2 linked regions of the Macaca fascicularis genome follow. The protein of the gene in region 2 interacts with the protein of the main gene of each other region in a biochemical or structural test. Links are inferred from orthologs where the notes say so. Each region holds a gene or a part of one and is shown on either strand. Other genes may lie near its edges.

Evidence for each region. The genes of interacting proteins can lie anywhere in the genome.
Region 1: the proteins of DNM2 (region 2) and ITSN1 form a complex in vitro, tested with the Homo sapiens proteins (2 studies listed by BioGRID and IntAct, with this or other methods). The link is inferred for Macaca fascicularis from reciprocal best matches to the Homo sapiens genes DNM2 and ITSN1.

What each region holds. Positions count from the first base shown.
Region 1 is NC_088377.1:13,151,364-13,158,728, reverse strand, and holds part of ITSN1 (intersectin-1), read left to right. Parts: intron 1-1,492; coding exon 1,493-1,755; intron 1,756-3,619; coding exon 3,620-3,769; intron 3,770-3,860; coding exon 3,861-4,001; intron 4,002-7,365. UniProt on the Homo sapiens protein: Adapter protein that provides a link between the endocytic membrane traffic and the actin assembly machinery. Acts as a guanine nucleotide exchange factor (GEF) for CDC42, and thereby stimulates actin nucleation mediated by WASL and the ARP2/3 complex.
Region 2 is NC_088393.1:11,367,575-11,374,939, reverse strand, and holds part of DNM2 (dynamin-2), read right to left. Parts: intron 3,884-7,365; coding exon 3,813-3,883; intron 2,217-3,812; coding exon 2,187-2,216; intron 1-2,186. UniProt on the Homo sapiens protein: Catalyzes the hydrolysis of GTP and utilizes this energy to mediate vesicle scission at plasma membrane during endocytosis and filament remodeling at many actin structures during organization of the actin cytoskeleton.

The DNA of each region.
Region 1 (7,365 bases), on a different chromosome or scaffold from region 2:
TTCCCTCCAGCCTGTGGCAACCACCAATCTGCTTTCTGTCTCTTGGGATTTACCTATTGTGGATATTTCATATAAATTGAATCATGTATGACTGTTTATAACTGACATCTTTCACTTGGCACAATATTCTTGAGATTCATCCACCTTGCAGATGTATCACCTTACATCATCCCTTTCTGTGGTAGGGGGACTTTGAAATTTTTTTTTTTTTTTTTTTAAGATGGAGTCTACTCTTGTCACCCAGGCTGGAGTGCAGTGGCACAATCTTGGCTCACTGTAACCTCTGCCTCCCAGCTTTAAGCGATTCTCCTGTCTCAGCCTCCCAAGTAGCTGGGATTATAGGTGCCTGCCACCATACCCGGCTAATTTTTTTGTATTTTTAGTAGAGACGGGGTTTCACCATGTTGGCCAGGCTGGTCCCAAACTCCTGACCTCAGGTGATCTGCCCACCTCAGCCTCCCAAAGTGCTGGGATTACAGGTGTGAGCCACTGCACCCAGCCAGGACTTTGAACTTTAAGTATCAGAATAGAGGACACCGTTTCCTCTGAAATTACCAAAGGTGAGCAAGGAAACCAATACATACTTGCCCTCTTTCATCTCTAATCGCTGACTACAGTATGTGAAGGAAGTCTATCTAAAGCAGTGAAGTCCAAACAGGAATGTGGGAAGAAGCCAAAGAAGGATGCTCACAGCTGCAGATCTCAAGGCAGAGTGAGAAGTGATGGTTCTTAGATGTGGACCAGGGACTGGCATGCTGCACAGGGTGGCAATGAACACTCCCCTGGCCGGGGTTGGTACCAAGGAGAATTGCGTGAGGCCGACACAGAAATGAAATAGACACTGCTGAGGATAGTAAGGGACGCGGATGATGGGATTGTAGAAAATGTAGAAATAAAATGGACATAAACAAAGTATTAGAGAAAAAATGATAGAACCGAGTAATCATTCTAAATTTATAATTGATGTATCAAAGAAGGAAACTGAATAATGGGTTAGAAAAAATTGTTGACCGACTGTGATCTCTGTAGGGATAAGGACACAGCTTGTTCTTCAGTGTGAAAAGCTCACCTTTAGCTCTGCTTTGAGAAGTCTTGTTAGAATACAGGACTCATCAGCACAGTTATAAGACAAGGGGAAGGAGGGAGAGAGGCAGAGACTCATGGTCCAGAAGAGAGGGGGTTAATTCCTAAGGCAAGCTCATGGGAAGAAGGGAAAGGATGGAGTAACAGGGAAGGAAAGGAGTCTGGGTAGTGATGTAGAACTGCTAGATAAGGGTCTTTTAGAAACAGTGTTTGGCATGGAGGAGAAGACACAAGCAGAGAGGTTAGGCAAAGGGGGTTTTTATTGTGCTCATTAACAAGGACACAGAAGCTTAGGGAGTTCTGAGTTTGGGTTTGTACTACAAGTTTCAAATACACTGGTGAGTTTTCCTTTGAAAAGAGTATGTTGAAAATCATGAGCTTTCATAGTTGCTGTGTTCCTTGTCTGAAGTAACGTTTGAAGATAAGAAGAGGGAGAACTTTGAACGTGGCAACCTGGAACTGGAGAAACGAAGGCAAGCTCTCCTGGAGCAGCAGCGCAAAGAGCAGGAGCGCCTGGCCCAGCTGGAGCGGGCAGAGCAGGAGAGGAAGGAGCGTGAGCGCCAGGAGCAAGAGCGCAAAAGACAACTGGAACTGGAGAAGCAACTGGAAAAGCAGCGGGAGCTAGAACGGCAGAGAGAGGAGGAAAGGAGGAAGGAAATTGAGAGGCGAGAGGTAAGCAGGCGAGAGTGGAGCCACCCCGAGTTAGTGTGCAATTACCCCCTTTCAGAATTATCCAAGTGATCTATTCATGCCATCTTTGTCTTTTTACAGTTCAGTAGTTTTAGTATATTCCCAAAGCTGTGCAGCCATCATCCCTAATTCCAGAACATTTTCATCACTCCAGCTCCTTACCCATTAAGCAGCTACTCCCCATTTCTTTCTCCCTCCAGCTCCTGTCTATCATTAATTTACTTTCTGTTTTTCTAGATTTACCTATTCAGGACATTTTTTATAAATGGAATCATCCATATATGGACTTTTGTTTCTGGCTTTCATTTAGCATGATGTTTTCAAGTTTTATCCACATTGTAAAATGAATCAGTCCTTTATTCCTGTTTATGGCTGAGTAATATTTTATTATATGGGTATACCATGTTTTTTAATTCATTCAGCAGTTGATGGTCATTGTGGCTGTTATAAACAATGCTGTTATGAACATTAATGTACAAGTTTTTGATGATACAATTTTGTAACAAACCACTGATACCAGTTACGTGTTTTTCCGAACTGTTTTCTCTGTATACACCTATATAAAAATATAAAGGTTTATATGGTGGAGAGTATAAGGGTTGTGCAATTTTTTAAAAAACCACTGTAATAGTGTCATACCAATTACATTGTTCTGCAACCTTCCTTTTGTTTGTTTGTTTGTTTGAGACAGAGTCTCACTCTGTCACTTCCAGGCTGGAGTGCAGTGGCGTGATCTCAGCTTACTGCAACCTCTGCCTCCTGGGTTCAAGCGATTCTCCTGCGTTCAAGCGATGCTCCTGCCTCAGCCTCCTGAGTAGCTGGGATCACAGGTGCCCACCACAACACCCAGCTAATATTTCATATTTTTGGTAGAGATTAGGTTTCACCATGTTGGTTAGGCTGATCTCGAACTCCTGACCTCAGGTGATCCGCCCGCCTCAGCCTCCCAAAGTGCTGGGATTACAGGCATGAGCCACTGCACCCGGCCTGTGCAACCTTCTTTTTAAACTCTTTTAAAAATATGTGTGGGACATCCTCCCTATATTCTATGGAAGTCTTCATAAATTTAGCACCATACCTGGAAAGGGACTAAGCCAATCTTGTCTCTCTTTCCAATTTTAGTACATTACTGCAGAAGCAACACATAATTCTCTCATGTTAATGGAATAATAAAAATGAGGAATTTTTCGATATAAAAAAATAGCCTGAGTGCCATGCCTCAAGCCTGTAATCCCAGCCCTTTGGGAGGCTGAGGAGGGATGATCACTTGAGGCCAGTAGTTGGAGGGCCACTGCATTCCAGCTGGGGTGACAGAGCAAGACCCTGTCTCAAAAAAAAGAAAGAAACGAAACTTATAGCCATAACTCCTTTTTTTTTGAGACAGAGTCTCACTCTGTCGCCCAGGCTGGAGTTAAATAATAATTTCTCTTTTGGTGGAGTAAAATCAACTTTTGTTTGTTTTTGTTCAGGGGTGTTTTAGTTTGATTTTACTACATAAAGAAATTTTCCTTCTTGGTGTGTCAGTAAGTAAGAAGGAGCACTTTTAGTTAGTACATCAAGCATTCTTGAAGGTATAAAGAATGGAATTCTAATGGGGAAATGATCCTGTCATCTTACATAAATATAATATTACATAAATATAATAGCCAGCTCTGTATATTCCCTTTATTCCCATAGAAGGAATACCGTATTTTTATAAGTTACTTTTTGTTTTGTAATGTGATTTCTTGTAATGTTTATTTTTTAATCCCTAAAAGGAAGGACTTACTAGATGTCACTTTTGTGAAGAGACATTGTGTAGTGTAAGAACTGAAAAATTAGTAATTTGTCTTTGTAAATGTCACAGGCTGCAAAACGGGAACTTGAAAGGCAACGACAACTTGAGTGGGAACGGAATCGAAGGCAAGAACTACTAAATCAAAGAAACAAAGAACAAGAGGACATAGTTGTACTGAAAGCAAAGAAAAAGACATTGGAATTTGAATTAGAAGCTCTAGTGAGTGAAGTTTGGTTATACTTTGGAAATATACTAAGATGGAACCATTAAAAACAGTAATAATTTTTAATTACTCTTTCATTTGTTCAAGAATGATAAAAAGCATCAACTAGAAGGGAAACTTCAAGATATCAGATGTCGATTGACCACCCAAAGGCAAGAAATTGAGAGCACAAACAAATCTAGAGAGTTGAGAATTGCCGAAATCACCCATCTACAGCAACAATTACAGGTGAGGAAATATGCCTCTTAAATGCTATTAAACTGGCATCCTTTTCTCTAATTCATTTCATTTACTTATTTATTCAGTAAACATTAAGCAACTATCTTGTATTAGGCACTGGGAAGCAAAAATGAAGTAGACAGGGTCCTTGTGTGAAAAGTAGCCTGTCAAGGAGACAGACTCAGCAGATGTTTATTGAGCACTGCTTTGGGCCAGATGCTTTTGCAGTTTCTGAGGCTACAGCAGGGACAGACACTCTGTCTTCTGGGAGCTTACCCTCTCTGTTTGCCGGAGGAACAGAGACTAACAAAATAAAGTGTGTACTGTATTAGAAGATGAAAAGTGCTAGGGAGAGTGAGTAGGGAAGGGAATAGAGAGTCCTAGGGATAAGAAAGGTTGTGATTTTAACTAAGGTAGCCAAGACAGGTCTTTCTGGATGGTGACATTTGAGCAGAGACTTGAAATTAATGATAGGCTAAGCCATGTGGGTATCTGGCAGAGCAAGATCTAGGCAGAGAAATAGCAGTGCCAAAGTCCTGAGGCCATGGCAGGACTCTTGAGATGCCAGTTACAGCAAGGAGACTACTGGTTAGAGCAGGTGGGAGCTGGATCACACAGAACCTGTAGTCCAACAGGACTTTGGCTTTACTGCGATAATTATAATAAATAAGTACACTTAAGTATTTTAGGGGGTCATATGAGAGCTATACGTATAGTAAATAGTTGGAGACGCACAGAGCACTATTAGTAGTTCTGTCTTCATTTTAAACCCTATCCAAAGTTGTTATGATATAACCTGGTTTGGTATCAAGTGTTGAACATCAAATTCATGTAAATGTTGCCTGCAGATGATCATATTTGTCTGTGACTCTTTTATGTCAGACTTTTTCTCAGCATGATGTTTTTGAGATATATCCATGTTATTGAGTGAATGACTCCTTTGTTTCTTTTCATCACAGAGTAGTGTTTCCTTATATGTTCATTCACCTATTGGTTGATATTCAGGTTCTTTCCAGTTTGGAACTTTTATGAATAAAACTGCAGTGAGCATTTATGTACAAGTCTTTATGCGGAAATGGTTTATTTCTCTTGGGTAAATTTTTAGGAACGGAACTACCATGTCATATAAGTATATATTTAACCCCATAAGAAACTGTCAGGCCGGGCACAGTGGCTCACACCTGTAAACCCAATACTTTGAGAGGGCAAGGTAGGAGGATTGCTTGAGCCCAGGAATTTGAGACCAGCCTGGGAAACATCTCTACATTAAAAAAATTTAAAAATTAGCTGGCATGGGGGCATTCACCTGTAGTACCTGCCTGAGGCAGGAGGACCACTTGAGCCCAAGAGATGGAGGATGCAGTGAGCTATGATTGAGCCACTGACAGCCTGGGCCACAGACTGAGACCCTGTTCCAAAAAATAAAAGAGAGAAGAGAAAGAAAAGCAAGAGAACTGTCAAACTGCACAGAGTTTGTACCATTTTACATTCTGATCATTTAATTTGTATTTCCCTGAAGGCTAATGATGTTGGGAATCATCTTACATGTTTATTGGCGAGTATCTTTTACTGTGTATCTTTGTTGAAGTGTCTGAACAAATCTTTTGCCCATTTTTTATTGGGCTGTTTGTCTTACTATTTATTTGTAAAAGTTCTTTTTATGTTCTTAACAAGTCATTTGTCAGATACATGTTTTGCAAATATTTTCTCACAATCTGGATTGGGTTTAATTTTTGTAGTGGTATTTTTTAAAGGGCAGAAGTTTTAAATTTTGATAAAGTTCAGTTTACCATTTTTTTTCTTTTGGTGTTCATGCTTTTTATGTTCTATCTAAGAAATCTTTGACTACCCCATGATTGCAGATATTTTATTTTCTTCTAGAAGTTTTTGGGGTTTAAAAAAATTAGTTTTAAGTTTTTATAAATTGCAAAAAAACTTTAAAATTTTAAGTTTCATAGTTGTATCTTATATGTTTAGGTCTATGAGCTATTTCAAGTTGATTTTTGCATATAGGGTAAAGGTTGAGGTTTTTTTTTTTTTTACATACTGATACACAGTTGTTATAACACGATTTATTAAAAACACTGTCTTTTCTCCCATTGAGTTACCTTGGTAGCTTGTTGAAAATCGGTTAAACATATTTGTAATGGTCTATTCTGGACTCTATTCTGTTCTTTAGATCTGTCTGTCCTTTACCAGTATCTCACTCTGTCGATACCTAATTTTTGAAGTCAGGTGATACGAATTCTCTGTTATTGTTCTTCTTTTTTCAGAATTGTTTTTGGTTATTCTAGGTCCTTAACATTTCCATGTACATTTTAGAATCAGCTTACCAGACATGCTTGGAATTTTGTTGGAATTCCATTGAATTTATAAGTCAATTTGGGAAGATTTGGCATCTTAGCAATAGTAAATCTATGGCATAAATCTCTGTTTAGGTTGTTATAAATTTCACTCAGCAATGTTTTGTAGTTTGCCGTGTCTAAGTCTTGTACATACTTTGTAAAGTTTATCCCTGAGTATTTTGTGGCTTTCGATGCTATCGTATATTGCATATTTTTATTTTAGTTTCCAGTTGTTTGGTGCCAGTATATGGAAATAGAACTTATTTTTGTATATTGACCTTATATCTATGATTGCTTAACTAACTTTCTTTGTGTGTCTTACTTTGTTGACCAGAACCTCCCATACTGTATTGGATAGAAGTGGGAAGAGCCTTGTTCCCTCTCGATGAAGGAAAGCTCTCTCACCATTGAGTATAGTGTTAACCAGGGTTCTTGTAAATGCCTTTTATCAGGTTGATGGACTTCCCTTTTTGCTGAGGGTTTTTATGATGAATGGGTGTTGAATTAGATCATATGTTTTTTCCCGCATCTATTGAGATAAGTATTATGTTTTTTCTTTCTTATTTTGTTAATATGATGAAATACATGGATTGCCATTTGAATGTTAAATCAGCCTTCCGTTCTTGGGATAAACCACTTTTGATCATGGTATATTACCCTTTATTAAAATATTTCACTACATTCCTTTTCTCGTTTTTTTTTTTTTTTTTTGAGGATCTTTTTAAGTCTATTGAATTCAATTCAACAGAGATAATTGGTTTTTAGTTTTCTTCTAATATTCTTGTCTAGTTTTGATATCAGGGTAATGCTGGCCTAAGAAAATGAGTTGGAAAGTATTCCTTCCTCCTCTGTTTTCTAAAAATGTTTGTGTTGAAATAGCATTTCTTCTTTAAATTTTGGTGGCATTCACCAGTGAAGCCCTCTGGATCTGGAATTTTCTTTGTGGTAAGACTTAATTATAAAATTTATTCAGTAGGTATAGGGCTATTCTGATTTTCTTTTTCTCCTTGAATCTGTTTTGATTATTT
Region 2 (7,365 bases):
CTGGGGACCAAGTGAGCAGGCAGAGGCAGAGGCAGAGGCAGAGGCAGAGGCAGAGAGAAGCCCCCTGCACACAAGGAGCTGCACAAGGGCAACGGCCTGGGCACACGGAACAAGAAAATGTATCTGGTTCGATTGAGGCTTCTTAGGCCCTCAGCTCAGCCGACTTACTAAAGTGTTGGTTACTTCCAGATGTCACTAGGATCCCGGAGTTTCTAAGAGGAATTGTGAGAAGGTGTTGCCTAAGATGACTGCGGTGGCGCAATCACAGCTCACTGCAGCCTTGACCTCCCGGGCTCATGTAACTCCCCTGCCTCAGTCTCCCGGGTAGCTGGAACCAAAGGTGCACACCACCAGGCTCAGCTAATTTTTGATTTTTTATAGAGATGAGATTTCGCTATGTTGCCCAGGCTGGTCTTAAATTCCTAGACTCAAGGGATCCACCTGGCTCCACCTCCCAAAGTGCTGGGATTACTGGCATGAGCCACTGCGCCCGGCCCTTCTTCCTACTCTTCTCATGATTTGATCCCAACACCAGCCTGTAAGTGGCTCTAACCACAGAGCCATCCAGTCCTCGACATCAGAGTGTGGGACAGCTGCTGGCCATGAAACGGCACGTATCTTGCACGACTCCTGACCCAAATTTAGAGGACATCCAAGGTCTACAGGGTGTGTTTCTATAAGGTTCCTATGCAGCCACAATCCCAGATCTCTTTTCTTCTTTATCCATCCTCCTTCCTGGCTAGTTCATGCCAACATAGACAAAACCCACTATATTTTATATGTGGACACCTACTCCACCACCTTACGGTTCCAGTATATTTTCTACTCTGACAATCATATGATCACTTGCAAACAACGTACATCTCCTGTTACTTATCCATCACATTTTCTTTTCTTTTCTTATTGCTTTGGCTGAAACTTTCAGAACAATATGGAGAAGCAAATCAGCTTGGTCACTTTCCTTTCCTGACTACCTTGGGGGTTTTGTTTTAGAGTGCAAGTTGGCTGTAGGATAAGGGAGAAAGTAGGCTTCTGTTTCTAGATCAGAAAAGGCTGGAAAACTAAGAACTGGAAAACTAAGAACAAAGGCAGAATTTTATCCAATGTTATCCCCAACATTCAATAAGTTTATTATAGGGCTGCTCATCTGGGCTGTTTATTATTTATTTTTGAGACAGAGTCTCACTCTGTCACCCAGGCTGGAGAGCCCTGGTGTGATCATGACTCACTACCTTGACTTCCCAGGCTCAGGTCATTCTCCCACTTCAACCTCCTGAGTAGCTGAGATTACGCACCACCATCACGCCCAGTTAATTTTTGTATTTTTTTATAGAGACAGGGTTTCACCATGTTGCCCAGGCTGGTCTCAAACTCCTGGGCTCCAGCGATCCACTCACCTTGGCCTCCTGCAAAGTGCTGGGATTACAGGCATGAGCCACTGCACCAGGCCTGGGCCCTGTTTATAATATTTTATTTGGAGGGTAATGGGAAGTCCAGAACATCTAAGCACAAGAAGGATTTTGATCAGCAGCATCTGAAGGAGGTGGCACTGAGCTGAGCCAACCTTCACAGTGATGGCTGGGTGACAAGTGATGCCCCAGAGGTGCTTTTCCTAAGGGCCTCCTGGCTCCCACCCTTGCCAGGGCTCCCTCAAATAGCAGCCCACAAGGTGGCCCCTCTCCTGAGCCTGGACCTAATCGGAAGCATCCTGGTGTCTTGGGGGAAAATCCAGAATCCTCCCCTGGACCTGCAGGGCCCTCCTGATAACAGGGCCTGGCCTCTGGCTCTCTTATCTCCACCTGCCTGGTCTTGTAGCCGTCCTTCCCTAGGTTCAATTCTCTGGTGTGCCCCCTGCATCACCTGACTTCTTCAGGAAGATCTCTCCAGGCCACATCCCTGGCTCCCCTTTCCCACAGCCTATCCCCTACCCTCTCTTCCTGCTCTCATCGTCCTTGTGACACTTTGCTTAGAGACTCCACCTCCCCAGCCTGCAGGCTCTGAAACAGCAGGGGCTACAGCTGGTGCGGTCAAGGTCCTGGCCCGGAGGCCCAACGGTGGCCCTGGCTCTTCAGCACCCCATAGCTCTTCAGCGGGCCCCGGGGACGTCCCACCCAGGGCTGGGGCCACCCGGCCAGGGCGTACCCGTTCACACACCAGGGCAAAGGCACACAGCAGGCAATACCCACCAGGTCACCAGCTGCTCAGTATAGTAACAGCTGGGGTAAGTGGGAAGGCCCAGGAATCCAGAGGAAAGAGTGGAGTGGTCAAAGGAAAAACAGGAGAGATTGTGAGAAGGAACTGTGGATGAAGTGCGAGAAGCAGAGACATCAAGGTGAGGAAAACAGCAGCAAACCAAAGATGGGGACCAGCGCTGTGAGCCCATACACACCTGTCAGCCGGGAGCGCAGGGCGGGGGGCTGCCTCCCACAGGCAGGGGAGGCCCAGTCAGGGCCCTCAGCTCATCTCTAGGAGGGGTTCTGATGAGGCCCTCATTCCTTTCTTTTTTTTTTTTTTTTTGAGACGGAGTCTCGCTCTGCCACCCAGGCTGGAGTGCAGTGGCCGGATCTCAGCTCACTGCAAGCTCCGCCTCCCGGGTTCACGCCATTCTCCTGCCTCAGCCTCCCGAGTACCTGGGACTACAGGCGCCCGCCACTGCGCCCGGCTAGTTTTTTGTATTTTTTTAGTAGAGACGGGGTTTCACCGTGTTAGCCAGGATGGTCTCGATCTCCTGACCTCGTGATCCGCCCGTCTCGGCCTCCCAAAGTGCTGGGATTACAGGCTTGAGCCACCGCGCCCGGCCGCCCTCATTCCTTTCTTTGCCTTCCTCCTTTCTCCCCACCTACCTGGTGCCCAGCACAGAACAGGTCCTCAATCAGCTTTGTCAGGTGCACCAATAAACGTTCTATCCGGTAACCACATAGCCTGAGATTTGGCTCTAGAGGCCCTCCCCTAGGAAGCCTGCCTGGCCCGTCAAGGCAAGGCCCAACAGCCGCCCTCTGGACCTCGACAGGCCCCGCACGGCCCCACCCAGCACACTACGCTGTAACGGCCTGTGTCCCTGTTGGTTCCCTGCATGGGGCCTTCCTCTGAGGGTGGGGAGCTGGGTGTGGGTTTGCCCACTGCTCTGTCACAGGGCCTCACGAGAGGGCATACCAGCGGCACCATCCAGCCCGCCTCAGGCAGGAAGGCCTGCGTGAGCCTCCCCAACCATCTGAGTGAGGCCCAGGCGCGCCGAGGGACTGAAGGAATCGGCGGGTGATGCCTGAGACCACTAGCACTGATAGCGACATCCTGCTGAAATCAGAGCTCCCCGATCTGGGCCCTCATCTAGGTGCCATGGAAAGTTCTGGTTTAAATCTACAGTGTACGCCTTGAAGCGAGGGAGACCCCAGGCAGCAGTTCCCAAAGAGCAGCTTCTGGAGCCCTGAGCCCACGAGATGCTGTCCATGAAGGGGCAGAGTCTGCGAAAAGCTGCCCACTGGTCGCTAAAGGCTCTGACAAGTCCTGTGGGAGAGGGGGTGCAGCAGCTGGCTGGCTTCGCCCTCTCCCTGCCGGTCTGACCATAGCACTGCCCTCTCCCGAAACTAACCACAGGGATGCCCCACAGAAGGCGCGTTGGTTTGGGACAGTGGACCACTATCAGCCCAGGAGAGTGTCCAGATATTCTCAGGTGGCTCTGCCTTCACCCCAGGACCCCCGATAGAGACTGTGTGACCCCCACCCTCTCAGAGAATCCCAACTCGATCACCTCCTTGGATCTAAGAGTAAGGACTGGTGCCGCCCGACCAGCCACTGTCTCCAAAAGTACCTACTTGGCAAACCCGATGAAGTCCTCGTGGTTCGTGTTGATGTAGGACTGTTCAATGTCGATCAGCAGAAGAATCTGGGGGAAAGTGGGGGTCACTGTGAGTACAGGGCCAAGCCTGGTAAGCGGGGGTGGTGACAGGAGCATTTCCTGGTCTTGCCAGCAGAGAAGGCGTGCGAACTAGGAGGCTTCCCAGACAGAACAGGGGGCTGGTGTCGCACTCCCCACACCCTCACAGGCAAGAAAGCCTGGACAACAGAGCACAGCCAGGCAGCCCGATGGGCCAGTCACAGGCAGGGCCACTGTCCCCAAGGTCTGGAGTTCTGATTGAGCCACTAACTGGCCATGTGACCCTGGGCCTCACGTTACTGACCTGTGGAATAGGGTGACAGGAGGCCCAACTGCCAAGGGTTTAATAATGTGCAGTCTTTTTTTTTTTTTTTTTCTTCGAGACTCACTCTGTCGCCTAAGCTGGAGTGCAGTGGCATGATCTGGGCTCACTGTAACCTCCGCCTCCTGGGTTCAAGCGATTCTCCTGCCTCAGCCTCCCAAGTGACTGGGATTACAGGCGCCTACCATCATGCCCAGCTAATTGTTGCATTATTGGTAGAGACAGGGTTTCATTGACTTGGCCAGGCTGGTCTCGAACTCCTGACCTCATGATCTGCCCGCCTTGGCCTCTCAAAGTGCTGGGATTACAAGCGTGAGCCACTGCGCCTGGTTTTTTTTTTTTTTTTTTTTTTTTTGAGAAAAGAACTTACTGTGTCTCCCAGGCTGGAGTGCAGTAGAACAATCATAGCCTCAAACGCCTGGGCTGAAGCAACACCCCTGCCTCAGCCTCCCAAGATGCTGGGGCCGCAGGCATGTGCCACCACACCTGGCTGATTTTCCTTTTTTTTTTTTTTGTAGAGGCAGGGTCTGACTATGTTGCCCAGACTGGTCCTGAACTCCTAGGCTCAAGTGATCCTCCTGCCTCGGCCTCCCAAAGTGCTGGGATTACAAGAGTGAGCCATTGCAAGCCACTGCCTTATAAAATCTCTTTTTCTTTTTCGGGGACAGAGTCTTGTTGTGTCACCCAGGCTGGAGTGCAATGGTGCAATCTCGGCTCACTGCAACCTCCGCCTCCTGGGTTCAAGCAATTCTCCTGCCTCAGCCTCCCGAGTAGCTGGGACTACAGGCACACACCACACCACCCGGCTAATTTTTTGTATTTTAGTAGAGACGGGTTTTCACCATGTTGCCCAGGTTGGTCTCGAACTCCTGAGCTCAGGCAATCCGCCCACCTTGGCCTCCCAAAGTGCTAGGATTACAGGCGTGAGTCACCGTGCCCGCCCTGTAAAGTCTTTAGCGCCTGGCGTGTTCAAAGTGCTGCATTAAAACTGCGAAGCTAATTTGGCCAACTATGAACACTAAAATAAAACACACACGTGTGTGCACACATGCACACACACACATACTTAAGCTAGAAAGGTAAAGTCTCAGGTAAAGAGCAGGGCTTGCGAGTCCACAGCACTTGCTGAAACTCTCCCTCCCTCATGTTTCTTGTCCTTTGCCCAGGATGAAGTTGGTCTATGGGAACCATGGATCCAGGCAGCTCACTGGCTTGGCTCCCATTCACAACAGGCCAGGCTGCTGGGGAGGAGGGGCTCGGATGCTCCTCACTGGACTCCCCTGGCCCTGGGCCAGTCACTTCCCCTCACTGCACCTTCAAGTTTCCGAAAATAAAGTAGGGCAAGGCACCCGGACTTGTCGGCCCGCTGGAAAATGCCAGGGTGCTCCGTCTGTGGGAGCAAGCGTGGCTGGTTTAATAAGGCCTGAGTCCCCTCAACCCAGCGCTCTCAGATCCGGCCCGGGAGCATGGCAGGTGAGCACCAGGGGCTGTGGAAGGGCCAGCAGCATTCTCACTAATAGTAACAACAAAAAGAATCAGACTCTTCCAGACTTTTGGTACAATTTCCAAGCTACAGCAGCTCTGAGGCATAGGCGCACCGGTGCCCTGAGGGAGCAATTGGCCAAATCAAAACTGGGCGCCTCTTTGCAGGACGAATGAGCCGATTTCATCCCCATCAACGGCAAGCGGAGAAGGACCATTTTAAACATGGTGACATAACAAGCAAGGGCTTAATTAAGCTCTGGTTTCAACAAACAGTTGTAAAAAGAACACAGAGGACAACTGACAGAAAGTGACTCAAAACAGATCCGGAAGCGGCGGCTCACACCTGTCATCCTAGCACTTTGGGGGGCTGAGGCAGGCGGATCACTTGAGGTCGGGAGTTCAAGACCAGCCTGGCCAACATGGCAAAATCCCATCTCTACTAAAAATACAAAAATTATCCAAGCGTGATGGCTCACTCCTGTAATCCCAGCTACTTGGGAAGCTGAGGCTGCAGAAGAGTGTAAGGATGGCCCAGTGCTTAGTGGGTGACAGTCTCAGCTGCAAGGGGGGGCAGAGACTTTGGGTGTGTGCTTGCAAGCCTTTGCAAGAAAGTGTTAAATGCTGAAACAGAAAAAGCAGGCTGGGTGTGGTAGCTCATGCCTATAATCCCAGCACTTTGGGAGGCTGAGGCGGGCAGATTGCCTGAGGTCAGGAGTTCAAGACCAGCCTGGCCAACATGGTGAAAATCTGTCTCTACTAAAAATACAAAAATTAGGTGGGTGTAGTGGCATAGGCCTGTAGTCCTGGCTACTTGGGAGGCTGAGGCATGAGAATCGCTTGAACCTGGGAAGTGGAGGTGGCAGTGAGTCGAGATCGTGCCACTGCACCCTAGCCTGGACGACAGAGCAAAACTCTGTCTCAAAAAAAAAAACAAAAACCAAAAAACGAAAACACACACACACACACACACACACACACACACACACACACACACACACCCACACACACAAAAAGCATCCCAAACACCCTCCAGCAGGCAAGTGGAGGCCCATGCTGTGCTCCATCCATTCCCTGGAAGACTGCTTAGTGATCAAGGCAGCAAACTGCAGATACAACAAACAACAGGCTTGGCTCCCAAATGCACAACGTCGAGGGGAGGGAGGGAGGGAGGGAAGAAGGGAGGCAGGAAGGGAGTCAAGAGTCAATGGGCCTCACACTGTGGGAGTCCACTGGAAAGACTACAGGATAGGGAGCGGACTGGTGGTGGCCAGGGCCTGGGGATTTCCTTTGCTGCTTCTTTTTTTTAAGAGACAGGGTCTCGCTCTTTCTCCCAGGCTGGAGAGCAATGGCACAACCATAACTTACTGAAGCCTTGATCTTGTGGGCTCAAGGGATCCTCCCACCTCAGCCTCCCAAGGAGCTGGGACCACAGGCATGTGCCACCACGCCTGGCTAATTTTTTTATGTTTTTGTAGAGACAAGGTCTTGCTGTGTTGCCCAGGTTGGTCTCGAACTCCTGGGCTCAAGCAATCCTCCTGCCTGAGGCTCCCTAAGTGCTGGATTATAGGCGTGAGTTACTACACCCAGTCTGGCCTGTGGGTTTTTGAGGGGTTGACTACAAAGAGGCATAGGGACAGGGATTTTAGGAGGTGATAGAACTGCTCCGTATCTTGATTGAGGTGAG